Linked DNA regions of Schizosaccharomyces pombe. Changing the gene in region 2 together with the main gene of any one other region gives a genetic interaction. Each region holds a gene or a part of one and is shown on either strand. Other genes may lie near its edges.

What was found. Genes that interact genetically often act in the same process or in processes that back each other up.
Region 1: of sum3 (region 2) and cig2, changing one suppresses a phenotype caused by changing the other (phenotypic suppression), as found in Schizosaccharomyces pombe (2 studies listed by BioGRID).

What each region holds. Positions count from the first base shown.
Region 1 is NC_003424.3:2,706,755-2,715,404, reverse strand, and holds cig2 (G1/S-specific B-type cyclin Cig2), read right to left. Parts: upstream 5,624-8,650; 5' UTR 4,326-5,623; coding exon 3,090-4,325; 3' UTR 2,353-3,089; downstream 1-2,352. Other genes in the region: P2 type calcium transporting P-type ATPase Pmc1, read left to right, coding at 1-2,352; mitochondrial [2Fe-2S] cluster assembly and transfer glutaredoxin Grx5, read right to left, coding at 6,536-6,626, 6,959-7,308; gpi12 (pig-L family GPI synthesis protein), read left to right, coding at 8,212-8,422, 8,487-8,650. UniProt on the Schizosaccharomyces pombe protein: Essential for the control of the cell cycle at the G2/M and G1/S (mitosis) transition. Interacts with the cdc2 protein kinase to form MPF. Interaction with res2 promotes the phosphorylation of res1 and inhibits MBF-dependent gene transcription.
Region 2 is NC_003421.2:972,152-979,267, reverse strand, and holds sum3 (translation initiation RNA helicase Sum3), read left to right. Parts: upstream 1-2,554; 5' UTR 2,555-2,596; coding exon 2,597-4,507; 3' UTR 4,508-5,269; downstream 5,270-7,116. Other genes in the region: yapsin Yps1, read left to right, coding at 1-655; protein SVP26, read right to left, coding at 1,144-1,827; SPOM_SPCC1795.12C (uncharacterized protein), read right to left, coding at 6,106-6,444. UniProt on the Schizosaccharomyces pombe protein: ATP-binding RNA helicase involved in translation initiation. Remodels RNA in response to ADP and ATP concentrations by facilitating disruption, but also formation of RNA duplexes. Inactivation of ded1 blocks mitotic cell cycle progression at G1 and G2/M.

The sequences.
Region 1 (8,650 bases), on a different chromosome or scaffold from region 2:
ACCTTGGCTTTGGCTTTTGCTACAAATCGCATGCAGAAAGATAATAACTTGGTCCGTCACTTACAAGCTTGTGAAACGATGGGAACAGCTACTAACATTTGCTCGGATAAAACTGGTACGTTAACCCAAAATCGAATGACTGTTGTTGCGGGTGGATTTGGCACAGATGTGTTGTTTTTTGATCATAATGATGAAACTCCTACCAACGTTGATCAGGGTTCCGATTCTTCAAAGTTCGAAGACGCTGGTGCTAGCGCATTCGCCTTTAAGCGCCTTTCCCCAGAACTTCGGGACTTAACTCTTTACAGTATTGCTGTCAATTCGACATGTCGACAGCTATTTGAGGATAATTCTGACACCCCAAGGTTTATAGGTTCTAAGACAGAAACAGCATTACTTGATATGTCAGTCAAAGAGCTGGGACTTACAAACGTCGATAGCATGCGTTCAAGCGTTGATATCAAGCAATTCTTCTCATTTTCCTCTGACCGCAAAGCATCTGGTGCTATATTTGAATACAAAGACAAGTATTACTTTGTAGTAAAAGGTATGCCGGAAAGAGTTTTGCAACAGTCTACATCAGTTATTACCAATGGCTCCCTTGACGAAGTTGAAGATATGCATTCTCATGCAGATTATTTTAAAGAAATGATCACTGGATATGCCAAAAGATCTCTTCGTACTTTAGGTTTATGCTATCGTGTGTTTGACTCTTGGCCTCCCAAAGATATTCCCACCAATGACGAGGATAGTTCTAATCCTTTGAAATGGGAAGACGCATTTACAGACATGACTTTCTTAGGATTTTTCGGTATCATGGACCCTATTCGGCCAGATGTACCTTTGGCTGTAAAGGTTTGCCAAGGTGCAGGGGTGACTGTTCGTATGGTTACTGGTGATAATATTGTTACTGCTAAGGCTATTGCTTCGCAGTGCGGAATTTACACAGAGGATGGAATATCCATGGAAGGACCGGAATTTCGATCTCTTTCTGATGAGAAACGCTTAGAAATCTTACCCAAATTAGATGTACTTGCACGCTCATCTCCTTTGGACAAACAGTTATTGATTGAAGGACTGCAGAAGCTTGGTAACGTAGTAGCGGTTACAGGTGATGGTACCAATGATGCGCCTGCACTAAAAAAAGCTAACGTCGGCTTTTCAATGGGTAAATCGGGAACCGAAGTTGCCAAGGAGGCGTCCGATATTATCCTTATGGACGACAACTTCTCGTCAATTGTGAAAGCAATTGCTTGGGGAAGAACCGTTAACGACGCTGTAAAAAAATTCCTGCAATTTCAAATTACCGTGAATATTACGGCTGTTTTCTTGACTATTATCTCTGCTGTTGCCTCGACTGACCAAAGCTCTGTTTTAACTGCTGTTCAGCTTTTGTGGGTTAATTTAATTATGGATACACTTGCTGCTCTTGCACTTGCCACTGACCCTCCTACTCCTGAAGTGTTAAAGAGGAAACCTGAGAAACCAGGTGCATCGCTTTTTACTTTTGACATGTGGAAAATGATTATTTGTCAATCTATGTACCAACTTGCTGTTACTTTGGTGCTACACTTTGCTGGTAATAGTATCTTCCATTACCCTTCCAATACTGCGGACATGAATACTATTGTTTTCAATACCTTTGTCTGGCTCCAGCTGTTTAACGAAATTAACAATCGGAGATTGGATAACAAGCTCAATATTTTTGAACGTATTAACCATAACTTCCTCTTTATTGCTATTTTCGTTATTGTTGCTGGTATCCAAGTTATAATTGTTTTTTTCGGAGGTGCCGCATTCTCCGTAAAAAGAATCGATGGTAAAGGATGGGCGATTTCCATCGTGTTTGGTGTTATCTCTATCCCACTTGGAGCCTTGATTCGTTGTGTACCAAACAATTTCCTAAGAAAGGTCCTTCCGGTTAAGACAATTGACACTGTTTTCTCTTGGATTCTAAATCCTAGGTTCCGTTCTAAGCGCCGTTCAACCGATCATGATGTTGAATCCCTTAGTCTTATCCCGTATGAACCCACATCTCCCAACGAAGTTATTGACTCTATTCGTCATTCCCTTGGCTTCGTTCAACGCATTAGAGGAGGAAGGATACGCCACCTACTCAACAACTCCAAATTTGATAAACAGATGGAAGCGCTTCCTGAACGTCTTCGTCCCCGTGTAAAACAGAGATTTATGAAGATCCGTTCACCTTCTGTTTCTTCAGCTACTAGCGTAGCTTTAATGATTCCTATCTCAACACTTGTTAGTGAAGCCAGCGGACGATTAGGTGGGCATGACATTTGGATTTCTCACAATCGCCAAGCTCTCGATAAAAAAAGCTCAAATGTTCATTAATTTAAGACGAATGTATGAGACAGAATAACAGTGATTCTATTATCGAATTTTTCTTTTTTATTTCCTTATTCTCGTTGGAAATCGCCTTCTTTTTCTATATTTGTTATCAATTAAAAGTTTGTTTCTTAGGTTTAAAAATTCCCTTTTTGTATAGAAAACGAGTCAGCTTTACCTTTTTCCTTATGTCTACTTTCTTTGTTTATCTTTATGAGTTACTTGGTTTTTGCCTATTAATGGTTTAGCCAGTTTGTTATATACCGCTTGAGCTTTAAGTTTTATGAATGAATAAAGAAAACTCCATTAATTAGAAACATGTTGTTTAACAGAAATATGAGGAAACAACGTACACGTATTTTGAAATAAAAAATGTAAACGTAACATAAAGTAAGGAATGAAATTATCGAATACTCTAGAATCAACGGAATCATCTAAAAGACAATGTGTGAGGATTAAGCATCAACACGGTTTGTTTAGTAGACTACAAAATTTTCAATTCTAAAACTCTTGGATAAAACTTGGGTATATGGTATATAATTAAGGACTTAGTTATCAAGGAGGAAAGGCTTGATGACATACTTGAAAACAGTCCTTGCATAAAGATGATAAGATTCAAAGAAAGAGAAGAAGAAAAAGAAGCTCTTTAAAAAGTAAATAAGTTATGATAATAAATAATAAAAGAAGAGCTCAACCTCATATTCAACAGAATATTTGCGTAAGAAAATTTATAAGAGCGTTCGTTAGTGACCATCATTTGTTAAAGAAGAAGACGGTTCTGATTGAAGGTCATCATCGTCCGTACGATTGACTGAGTATCGTTGACGGACGAGTTGATGAACAAAAATACTAGCCTTCAGGAACCTTTTTGAGGAGTATTTTTGGAAAAAGGCTTTGTGTTCTAGAGGCTTGTTATGATAATGAAGCATAATATACGCTATCTCCTTTAATTCATGCTCTTCATACCCACCAGAGCTTTCAACTAACTTTGGCGTCCATGGGCCGCGACGCAATAATCGGCGGCTCAAATACATTGCGGCAGCAGCAATTTTAGACATAGGATATCGTAATAAATCGTGGTCAAACAGATAAATTTCTGTTAGGTATTTCCCCAATGTCCTTGTTTGTGCATCATAACCTTCTGCTTGAGATATTTTGCGAAGAAAATTTAAAGGACTTGGATAGGACAAGTCAAAATTGAGAACATTTAACATATAACGTTCAGCGACACAGACATCTTCTACGGTAAAAGCACCATCAGTCATGTAAACAAAGTTTTGTATCGAAGGACACATAACCTCCTCATATTTGCTAGCGATGAGAAGAGCAGTAATGCCTGTTAATTGAAATTTAGACAAAGAGCATGAACGACGCGACAAGAATCGATCAATTATATTGACTGCCAAATAAAGGGTTTCGGGCATTAAACAAAAGTTGGAATGTATTTCCACCAACCATTCATTCAAAATTTCCCTCATTTTCCAGGTTAATTCTTTTTGTTGGTCCATATATTTTGGATTGGGAAGACACTTTAAATCCAGCTTTCTGATGTACTCAAATATTTCGGGTGCGTATTCCTCAGCCATCAAAGGATTGGAGGATAAATGATCATCAACATTAGAGACTCTGTCCTTTTGTAAAGTTTCTACAGATGGATCCGCATTTTTGCTATAAACTTTCAACTTTTTCACGAATTTAGATTCGACAGGTTTATCAGCTTCTTCATTTGTAGATAAATTAGATTCATCGAACGATCTTTTCGCTTTTTTCGTATCCTTCTCATCAGCATTATTTTTACCTACATTGGAAACATCAGATAGGACAGTTCGACGTGGCAGATTAATTTCAAAATTTGTAGATAATTTTGTCTTCTCAGTCCCTTTTGATAAAGCTTGTTTGCCAACAAGTGTGTTTTCATCTTGATAACTATGCTTATTGATTTTAGAACCAACAGGCTTTGAAATTGAATAGAGAGCCATATGAAATATGGATTGATAAATTACCCTTTTATCAACGTATAGAAATATATCTGATTGTTTGTAACCAAAAATGTCTTCTTTTTATTAAAATAAGGAAACTGTTTTTGGTAAATTAATCTCAATTGACAAGATGGATAAATTAGGGAAATTGAGCGATCGAGAAACAGAAAGCACTTATAGCGAATTTTTAAAGTTTCTCTTTTAAATGAGAATAAATCAATGGGTCCGAATTATTCTATTGTTGTTGATAGGAAGAAAGGGAAAGAAATCGTCCAAACATAAACAAATGAATTGTGTAAACAAACCAAACCAACCTACTGTTGTGGATATAAACGAAAAAAAAAAACAAGCAGATGTAATCAAAATTGAGAAAGAAAAAAAAGTAAAGATAAATTTTTTAACGTTCGATTCGAAAATGAATTTACCTCTTTGAGGTATGCAGAATTAACTCTTATAAAGCACAAGAGCGTAGTTTAAAGGGACAATGATTAACGAAGAGAATTAAAAAGAACACTTCTTTGTAATTAGTTTAGAAAAAGCAAAGTTGAAGGTTTGATAAACAAACGATGGATCAGAAAAAGCAGCACTAAGACGAACAATACAAGCAAATAAGTTTGATAGTTCGAATTTAAAAGAATAACAAATGTAGGTGTTATTTTTCCAGCAAGAAAAGCGAGTAAAACCTTTTCAGCTTGAGGGCGAGAGCAATGCTGAAAGGCTAAATAAATTGCAATTGGGAAGACTGTAGGATAGCAATTGTTGCACTAATATCGAAAGGGGACGATTAATTATGTTTTAATAAGATATAGTGTACTTGTTATAAGAGAAATGACTGTCTTTGGCAAGCGCCTCCTGTAAAAGAGTAGGACAATAAGCGAACCAGAACAAAGAAAACAAAGAAACTTAAAACGGTAAAGTACACAATAGAAACCGACACTTAGCAGCTGAAAAGTGTAAAAAATTAATTAAAAGAAAATAAGTACAGTAGAAATAAGATACTCCGGAGTAAAAACTAGCTTGACACTCAAAATACTGAAAGCTTAATTTACTATTGTTTACAGTTAAAACCAGCTCAACCTAGTATATGGAGCCTAAACTGATCCCTATAGCATGTATTTGAAAAAAGAAATTAGAAAGAAGGAATATTCAAAGAGAAAAGAAGAAACGCAAAAAGCAGCGACAACAAGAGAAGGACTTCAAGGTGGATCCAACCTTTGGTAGAGTCTTGTAAAAGGGAAATTACACTTGTACAAGTGCCTTTGAAGCCTTTCTTGTAACTCAACACAAGTCAAAGTGTCAGTGAAAAAGCAAAAGACAGGCATAGCAAGCATATAAAAGAAGTAAACGCGACGCGACGCGAGAAACGCGCTTTCGCGCAAGCTAAGTTGCGTGCACCTCGTTTTGGCGTGTTTTAGAGCGCGCGCTTTGGTGTAGCGTTTTGTATATTACAATTCACTATGCGCGTGCCGTCATTACATGCTACACAAACTAACGCAATTTGAATAGAATTAAAAAGGGAGAGTTCGCTAATACTTTATATCGCAGTTACACTATAATTCGCTATATGCTGAGCTTGGAAGGAATAATGTTGTTTGTCAAGAAACACAAGCATCTGTTAATAAAAGTTTGGTAAACGTCTCGTAACGTCGATAAGCCAGTACTTTATATAATCAAAGAAGAATTTTTAAATCATATCAGATAACCAATCGTAATGCTTTCTGTGAATTACACCTACCAAGACATTGTTCTGTGCAACAACATAAGCAAAATAAAACAGTATTCAGCAATAGCGCTTTAACATTAAATCTAATTTACGACATTTTTTTTAAAAAAAAAGTCAAGGAATAACAATAAGGCATAAATCACGACACTAATTTCCATTCTCTATGTCATTTGGATGGACATGAACATGAACATGATCGCTTTCAAATTGATATTGAGGTTGATCCAAAAAATAACTTCCGATAAAAATTATTTTTTCTTATAGAGCTCTTTTACATTATTTCCAACATTTTGTCATGAAAGGGCATGAACACAAAAAAGAGGAGAAACAGAATTTCAAAGCTTCATTAAAGAATATCAAGCGTACAGCAAAAAGATAATTGAATAACGTCTGATTGATATACATGGCCTGTGGTGTCAAGTTGACCAATAAACTAAAAAATGCACAAGACCGTGGTACGTTGTGCAAATTAATTTGCAATGTGGACTCAATCCTTTTTAGTAGTTTCCTCTTCACTATCCTTTGGCTGTTCAGGGGCCAAAGCATTTATTTCTTTTAGAATTTTGTGAAGCTCTCCTCTACAGACAAATTGTTAATACAGAAATGTTGACAAGGAGAAATAATTAAATATGAGAGAAAAAATGAGGGAGAGAACAATGTGGCATATATAGACGACGAATTAAAGACACTGATACACTAATAGTTGATTTTTATCCAATGCTTTAAAAGGGAAAGTTCATTTGAAGAAAGAGCGAAAATATAACAGGGTTTTTTTATCTTTAATATCAACTAGAGTGATTAAACAGTTGTAGAATCCTCCTTCATCATCTTTAACATTTCCTATGACACCTCCTCAATCCTCACCGTCTCTCTACCAAATAATAAAAATACAGTTTAAAACATTACTTACGATTTATGCATGGACGCCAAGATATCACTACCGCCCACGAATTCTCCGTTAATATAAAGTTGAGGAATCGTAGGCCAGTCGCTGAACTCCTTTATACCTTCACGTAGCTCATCATTACTCAAAACGTTGTACGTAACTAATTTATCGGAAGCAACGTTTTCTAATGAAAGAATTTGAATCGCCTTTAATGAAAATCCACACATTGGGCGGGTAGGTGTACCTTTCATGAATAAAACGATAGGATCCTCTTTGACGGCCTGTTCAAGAGCTTGACGAGTTTGTGTGGACAGCATGCGAAGTTGCATGGATATACTGGTTTTAGGAATCCAAAATCTAAACATCGAATTCATCTTGAATATGGATATTGTAAAGTGTTTATAATAAGGCAATTTTGAGCTTGAATGTCAACTCATTGATTCGCCGCAGATAAAAGTGTAAGAAGCCGTACCACGTTCTATTGCGCTATATAGAATTCTTCCAAGTCTTAAATCAGTATAATATTATAGAAAATCAGTACTTTTAGAAAAGTTTTATAAGAATATTTATTTTATTAGAAAAGTATATCGTGGGATAAAAGACTTAATATTGTACTAATCAGTTTCTGATTTCGAGAAGAACGCAGCTAAATCAAATTCCTTAATGAATATAGATTTTGCAATCCATCTGGCTCCCTTGGCCCTTTATTTCTATTAAAGGAATGTAAAAATATAATGGATCCTGGCTCTTTTCCGAAATTCCTGATAACTCATATTTGTTCTCTATAAAATATATGCATAGCTTCCGCTCCAACTTATGGTAGTTTATTATGTTCTTTGGGTCCTCTCTGTTTTCCAAAGTAAATATATTCCTCTTACTTTTACCTTATCCTTTGAAGTACTTTTACAGTTTTTTGCCTCTTTCCCTATCCGTCTCACTGAGCGATAGTAGTTCACAGGGTAATGAATAATGTAATTAACTATATAAGTCTGGAAATAACATATATATTATGTAGCTGTAAAACATTTACTAAGTAATGTATCCGCTTTTTTGTAATTCGTATGAGTTGAGTGTAAACTTGTTCTTGACAGTATTGTTCAAACATGACATATGTAATCCTCATCCATTTGCAAAAGTCCATTGTATACTCCTATAACAAACTAGGCAACCATATATCTCTTTTTTTTTTTAATCTATTCATTTTAATTAATTTGATAGTTTAAAAAAGATTTCTTCATATTAAAATTATTGAAATTTCCAACTAAGATTGCACCACTATGATTTGGTTTTGGTCAACTTTGTTAGTTACCGCAATAGCTGTATTATCCACTGCAAATGAATCCTCTTCTGGTCAAGAGAAATTAGCAGTTGAATCAATCCTTTTCGTCTTTGCTCATCCCGATGATGAATCTATGTTTTTTGGTCCCACCATCGACTATTTAGGCAATCAGCATTCTACTCGAGTTCATGTTTTGTGTCTTTCTAATGGTATGAAACAGTTGGTCCAGTTTTCCATTTTATCAATTATGTGTCGAACTAACTCCGATTTTAGGCAATGCCGATGGGCTCGGAAGCGTTAGAGAAAAAGAGTTGGTCGTCGCTGCTTCTAAGTACCAAATTGATAAAACCAATGTTCATGTTGTGTCAGATCCTCAATTGCAAGACGGTATGCAGGCAAAATGGGATCCAACCGATGTAGCGAAACACATTTCTCAA
Region 2 (7,116 bases):
TCAAACTCGTGAAACTTATATTTATTTGCCTGCCGAATTGGCTTACAGTGTGATGGATAATGCTGGTGCCTACTTATCCGAAGGCTATTTCGCATTAAACTGTGATGAAATTGATTTGGAAGCCGCTCTGATATTTCAATTTGGATGTAATTCAACTATCAAGGTACCGATATCGTTGCTAGTGATTGGGCAAGTTTCAAACATATGTCTTTTAGGTATTCGACCTTCGACGGATAGTGAGATTGTATTAGGTTTGTTATTTTTTCGAAACGCCTACACATTTTATCATCAAAGTCAAAAAATGATTGCCATTGGGCAAGCCTTTTATAACGCAACATCCAACTTGTCCGCCATCGTGGATCAACACATTCCTGGTGCTCTAACTTGTTCGCAATATCCTACGAGTGTGGCATCTACTCAATTGGTTCAGACTAGTCACTTCACATCCACATCGTTGTCTGCTGTGAATATTTCGGAAAGCGTCGTTTATTCCTATACAAGTAGTAGTAGTATGCCCTCTTCAGCTATTCCGTCCTTCAACATCTCTTTGATTTCTCAGAATGCGGTTGCAAATGCTGGAAATTCGTTTTCTCCGTTAAGTGCTATGGTCATTATGATGATGTCTGCTGTATTTTTAGGACTCGGTATTATATAGTCGATACTGATTAATTAAATGTGTATTTTATCAATTTTACAAGTGGCTAGGGTTTACTTGGATATATTTAGCTTTCTATCATGTTAATTTTTATTGATAAAATCGTTATGAACAAGACGTAAAAAACTCCGTTTCATATGAATATGAAAAGGCGTCATCTATTTCCTTTAAATGCATTTTCTACACGTCCGAGATGAAATTTAAGTCAAATTGACAATACAATTTCCATGTTGAAAAAAATAACAATAGGCAATCCTAAAGAACAACGACAAAACGTAAAAGAAGGATAATTTTGTTCGCTCAAACTGACCGAGAAAAAGTTAAAGTGTTGATGAAGAAAGTATGAAGAAAACTATATACAAAATAAAAGTCGAAAAAAAAAAGAGATGCAACATGTTGTGAGTAAATGATCACATAAGAAGTACAGACATTACAGTAAAGTTAAACGAATCCTTAATTTAAAAAGACAAGCATCCCTCAAACTCAACTCAGACGTAACGTTCACTTGAACGATCACTCAACCCCAAAGAGGTAAGACTACGTTCGACGAAGATACCTAACTTTTTATAAGCTTGTCGAAGTACATTCGACGTCCGACGAGATGATCCAGAAGAATAAGCATCAGGGGACGAGGAAGACGGGGTTGTAATGGTAGGAAGTGTATTGTCAGCAGCGGTAAAGGAAACAAAAATACCAATAGGAACAGACCATACGCATACCCCCATAAATGAAGCAACTTGTGAAAAGGAAGCACGAGAGGTCAAAAGGCGTTGACCAACAAAATCGTAAGTGAGTCCACGAGGTTTAATAGGGAATTCATGCACCTGGAAAAAGCGGACCCATAAGATATGATTCGCGACAATAAGGAAACATGCTAGCAAAAATCTCATTCTCTTAAATGAGAAGAAAGGAAAGGTATCAAAGTTGATTTTATAAATGTAATGACTGAAAATGGAGAATGCCGAGAGCCAAAAAGGAAAACCATCAAATATAACCAAAAACACCATTACCGCCATAATAAAATAAACCAACCGACATAAAAACGCCTTTGCGAGCCTAGAGTGCTCTTCTACAAACTCTGAAATGTAATACAAAGCTGATGCGATACTCACGGTCATGCCTATGAATCCCAAAACGATACCCAAGTACGACAGAGCATTAAGGACAATCATTTTGAAAAACGCTTTTAATTATGTCGTATCTAATAATCTTAACAAATGTGATTTTCTTTGGACTTCTTCAATATAGATAAATATGTTCGGATTTGTCGAATAAATACGGTTTTAATGCACAGCACCGCTTACAAAGCTTCTGCCTAAAGGTTTTAGCAATTTCTTAAGTTGCAAGGCACAATAAAAATATCAATTTCTATATTTTGTAGTATTGGTTGGTATGGGAAGACAGCAAAACCATGGCTGGTACTCCTGAATATCACTACGACCTTAAACAGAAAGCAAACTGTATGCTAATAATTGTAAATTTGAAAGTTGAATTTTCTTATTCCAATTAAAATGATTAATATGTATACTAAGTCTGCTATTTAGAGACGAGCATAACGGTGGTTTTTAGTTTTGGTGAGTGGCAATCGTGTACCTACATTACGGTGCCTAAATGTTTAGTTATATAGATTATAAATATATTTATATAGTAAAACCTTTCAATTAATTTTTATTCTTTAACGTAGTCAGATGATAGCACGTGTACTGACTTAAGGTTTCAAAAAAACTATTAATACCCATACATATTGGTATCAAAATTAACTAAAAAATAATTTTAAATTGTTTAAATGACTTTTTATCCTTGTTAAAAATTGTTTTCGTTGACATATCTAATTTGCTGAGGGGTTAAAAAGGGCAGTCCCATCGTGTATTTGGTAGCATTTAATGGCCAACTTAACCTAACCTCAACCAAACACTTCAACTCAGAAATACAAAAAATATTATGAGCGACAATGTACAGCAACAAGTAGATTCAGTTGGTTCTGTGACTGAAAAATTGCAAAAAACAAACATCAGCAGACCTAGGAAGTATATTCCTCCTTTTGCTAGGGATAAGCCAAGCGCTGGCGCAGCTCCAGCTGTTGGCGACGATGAGTCTGTCTCATCTCGTGGCTCTTCTAGGTCTCAAACTCCTAGTGAGTTTTCCTCTAACTATGGAGGTCGCCGTGAATACAATCGTGGCGGTCATTATGGTGGTGGCGAGGGCCGCCAAAATAATTACCGTGGCGGTCGTGAAGGTGGTTACAGCAACGGCGGTGGTTATCGTAACAACCGTGGATTTGGCCAATGGAGAGATGGTCAACACGTTATCGGAGCCCGTAACACTCTTTTGGAGCGTCAATTATTTGGTGCCGTTGCTGATGGTACCAAAGTTTCAACTGGTATTAACTTCGAAAAGTATGATGACATCCCTGTTGAAGTTTCCGGTGGAGATATCGAGCCTGTTAATGAGTTCACTTCTCCTCCTTTGAACTCTCATCTTCTTCAAAACATTAAACTCTCTGGCTACACTCAGCCCACCCCAGTTCAAAAGAACTCCATTCCTATTGTCACATCCGGACGTGATTTGATGGCCTGTGCCCAAACCGGTTCCGGTAAGACTGCTGGTTTCTTATTCCCTATTCTTTCTCTTGCTTTCGATAAAGGACCTGCCGCTGTTCCTGTTGATCAGGATGCCGGTATGGGTTATCGTCCTCGCAAAGCCTATCCTACCACCCTTATTTTGGCTCCCACTCGTGAATTAGTTTGTCAAATTCATGAGGAATCTCGTAAATTCTGTTACCGTTCTTGGGTGCGTCCCTGTGCTGTTTACGGTGGTGCCGATATTCGTGCTCAAATCCGCCAAATTGACCAAGGTTGCGACTTGCTTTCTGCTACTCCTGGTCGTTTGGTTGATTTAATCGATCGTGGTCGTATTTCTTTGGCCAACATTAAGTTTTTGGTGTTGGATGAAGCTGATCGTATGCTGGATATGGGTTTCGAGCCTCAAATTCGTCACATTGTGGAAGGTGCTGACATGACAAGCGTTGAAGAACGTCAAACTCTCATGTTTTCTGCCACTTTCCCCCGTGATATCCAACTTTTAGCTCGTGACTTTTTAAAGGATTATGTCTTCTTGAGTGTTGGTCGTGTCGGTTCCACTTCGGAGAATATTACTCAAAAGGTCGTACACGTTGAAGATTCTGAAAAGCGTAGTTACTTGCTTGATATTCTTCACACCTTACCTCCTGAGGGTCTTACCTTGATCTTTGTAGAGACTAAACGCATGGCTGACACACTTACCGACTATTTGTTGAATAGCAACTTCCCCGCAACAAGCATTCACGGTGACCGTACCCAACGTGAGCGTGAGCGCGCTTTGGAATTGTTCCGCTCTGGCCGTACTTCCATTATGGTCGCTACTGCCGTCGCCAGTCGTGGTTTAGATATTCCCAATGTCACGCATGTTATTAACTACGATTTACCTACTGACATTGATGACTATGTGCATAGAATTGGTCGTACCGGTCGTGCTGGTAACACTGGTCAAGCTGTTGCGTTTTTCAACCGTAACAACAAGGGTATCGCTAAGGAATTGATTGAGTTGTTGCAAGAGGCCAATCAAGAGTGCCCCAGCTTTTTGATCGCCATGGCTCGTGAAAGCAGCTTTGGTGGTAATGGACGTGGTGGCCGTTACAGTGGTCGTGGTGGTCGTGGAGGCAATGCTTATGGTGCTCGCGACTTCCGTCGCCCTACTAATAGTAGTAGTGGTTATAGCTCTGGCCCTAGCTACTCTGGATACGGTGGCTTTGAAAGCCGTACTCCTCATCATGGTAACACTTACAACAGTGGTAGTGCTCAATCCTGGTGGTAAATTTCCTAAAAAAATATTTTTATTGGGTTACGTGCATCTGTGTTATGCACAGGCTTCTGATGATTTCCTTTAGTCAGAGGCCGAAGTATTGTGTCCATTGTTTTGCTGACATTTGCAAAGCGCGAGGATGTCAGAAAGGGCGAAATATTTGGCTTTAATTAACTGTGATTGAGTGAGTTGCACGAAACGTCTTTTGTTTAGGTCCGGTTTTTTTCATTTTTAAGCTGGGCTTGGACGGATGCTCATTGGGTGTGCTTTTTAATCGTTGCGGTTGTGGAAGCGTTATGTAAAAACGATCCGGCAAAATTTAGTATGCGGTGTTGTGTTTTATTGCATAATAAGATGAGGCGAAAGTTTCAGAAGTCAATGCGTGCATGATTTATTCACGGGACTTTTTAAATAGAATATGCATATTTGAAACATTTGCATTGACGAAATGGATGTACGAATACGACGGGCATACAAAATGACATATATTATACATATTTTATATATATCTATTGATATGTTGAAAATTTCTACAGGCTTTGAGCTCATGATTTTAAAAATCAATGATGGATCTTTTTTTACGAGTCTGTGTTTCTTTTTTTCGAGAGAACTTGGAAATAGGTTAGTGTCTCTCTTTTGTTGGATTGTGGTTCTTGGGTAATATTTCTTTAGGAAAAGGTTTACGATTCTGCAATTTGTAATAATAGGATGCGCGCTAGAGCAAATTAATAAATTTTATTGCAATAATAAACTATACACATGTTATTAGGCAAATTAGTTATTAGTAAAATTAAGGAATGTAATTAGTGATATGTACAGTCAGAAATACTAGAAATATATACGAAAGATTAAGTAACGCAGCTACAATGATCACTGATACAGAAAGTATTTAAGGGTCTAGTTGGACTAGACAATTGTTTATTTATTGTGTCGCAGTAGTCACAATCAAAAGAAATAATTAAATAAAAAATTAGAAATAAATGGTGAACCACTTGGACCTATATGCTTTGACGACATACATATTAATAAGTGAGGACAATGTCAAGGGTAACTTAAGTAAATGTTGAAGAAAAATGCTTGATGATTATGTTTTTACGTTCTCAATTAAATAAGTAACTTTTCAATTAATTGAAAAACGAATATTAATGAGTAACCATGACTAGGATTAAAAGAATAAACAACCATACTTAAACTTAGTATTCAATAGATTGTTGAGATTAAAGAGAACAAAAATTAAGGAAACAGATCACAGCACAATTTCATCAAAAAATTGCAATTTTTCTTCGTTTTTCTTTATGTTTTTATATAATATAAAAAATTGATGAAAAGCAAGTAGTCCTTCTCTTTTTTTTTTTTTAAAGAAAAACCGAAAACAAATGTAGAAAAGACAAGTTAGGAAACAGGTTTGTAAAACAAGCAAGCTAACCGAGAACAAAAAGAGACGCATTTACAAGGGATATAAATATGTACAATTGAAGGTGCGAAAATTTTTCACAAGTCCTTGCGCACTGGGAATGCGATAAAAGAAAAAAACCATAGGGAACAACCGAAGATCCAAAGTACCAACAAAACGAATGAAGCTCTTGCTCTAAACATTGTTAAGAGTTAATTTAATCCCGGAAGGAAACAAAAGCAATTAATAAGATGAAAGCGATTAGAAACATTGAGAGAGTAAAGATGAAAAGTCGACGAGAGGAAGTAGACACACGCTTTAAGCGTTGAACTAACAGCATGTGCTTTATGGGGTCGATTCTCTTTCTAGGATCTCTGTTTTCAAACTGCAACTCATCGCTGTCGCTATCATCAAAGTCTGGGAATTCATCTACTTCTGTTTGAAACCGAACATTTTTGCGGATTCGTTGTCGAGGATCGCTTTGCGAAGCAGAAATATCATAGAGGGGATTTCCCGTATACACAGGAGAGTAAGATGTTGTTGTAGGACGATACATAAAGTCAAATGATTCAAATTTAATTAGATTAAGAATGTGCAAAAGATAAATTCTATGCAAATCGGATCTTGGATATCATAGCAAAATACCGGCACGCTATCTACGTTTACCGATGGTAGTGTACACTTTTGGCTTAATTGGTTTATCAACTTTGATAAATTACATTACAATATTTGTGATACATAACGTGTACGGTATTGTTTTTCTGATACTGAACGAATTTTATGCTATAATTATGAATGATGGATTAGCAAAGTCTCATGGGTATTTTGCCTTTCAATTGCTATTTTAAAAGTAAGATTAATTGAAATTAATTGACTCTTTGTAATTCTGTATTGGTTCTTCTTAACAAAATCACTTTGAAACTTAACTTTTCTTTGCTTTAGTTAGATTTGGAATGCATTATTTTATGCTAAAGAATGTTGTAATTTTATTGCTTGGTGTCTATCAATATTACTGTGAACTGACCGCAATACTTTTTTAAAAATATTTTTCGTTAGCAATAAACTTGAAATGAATTAAACTAAGGCATAGCCATTAGTAGCATGCTTCATGTTTGGGTGATAAAAAAAAGTAAACATGATGTCTGAAAGCAATTGTTAGATGGAATGTCTTCACCAACGTGATCATTGGGAATTCTTGAAAATATTTTAAAAAATATTTTATTTTATT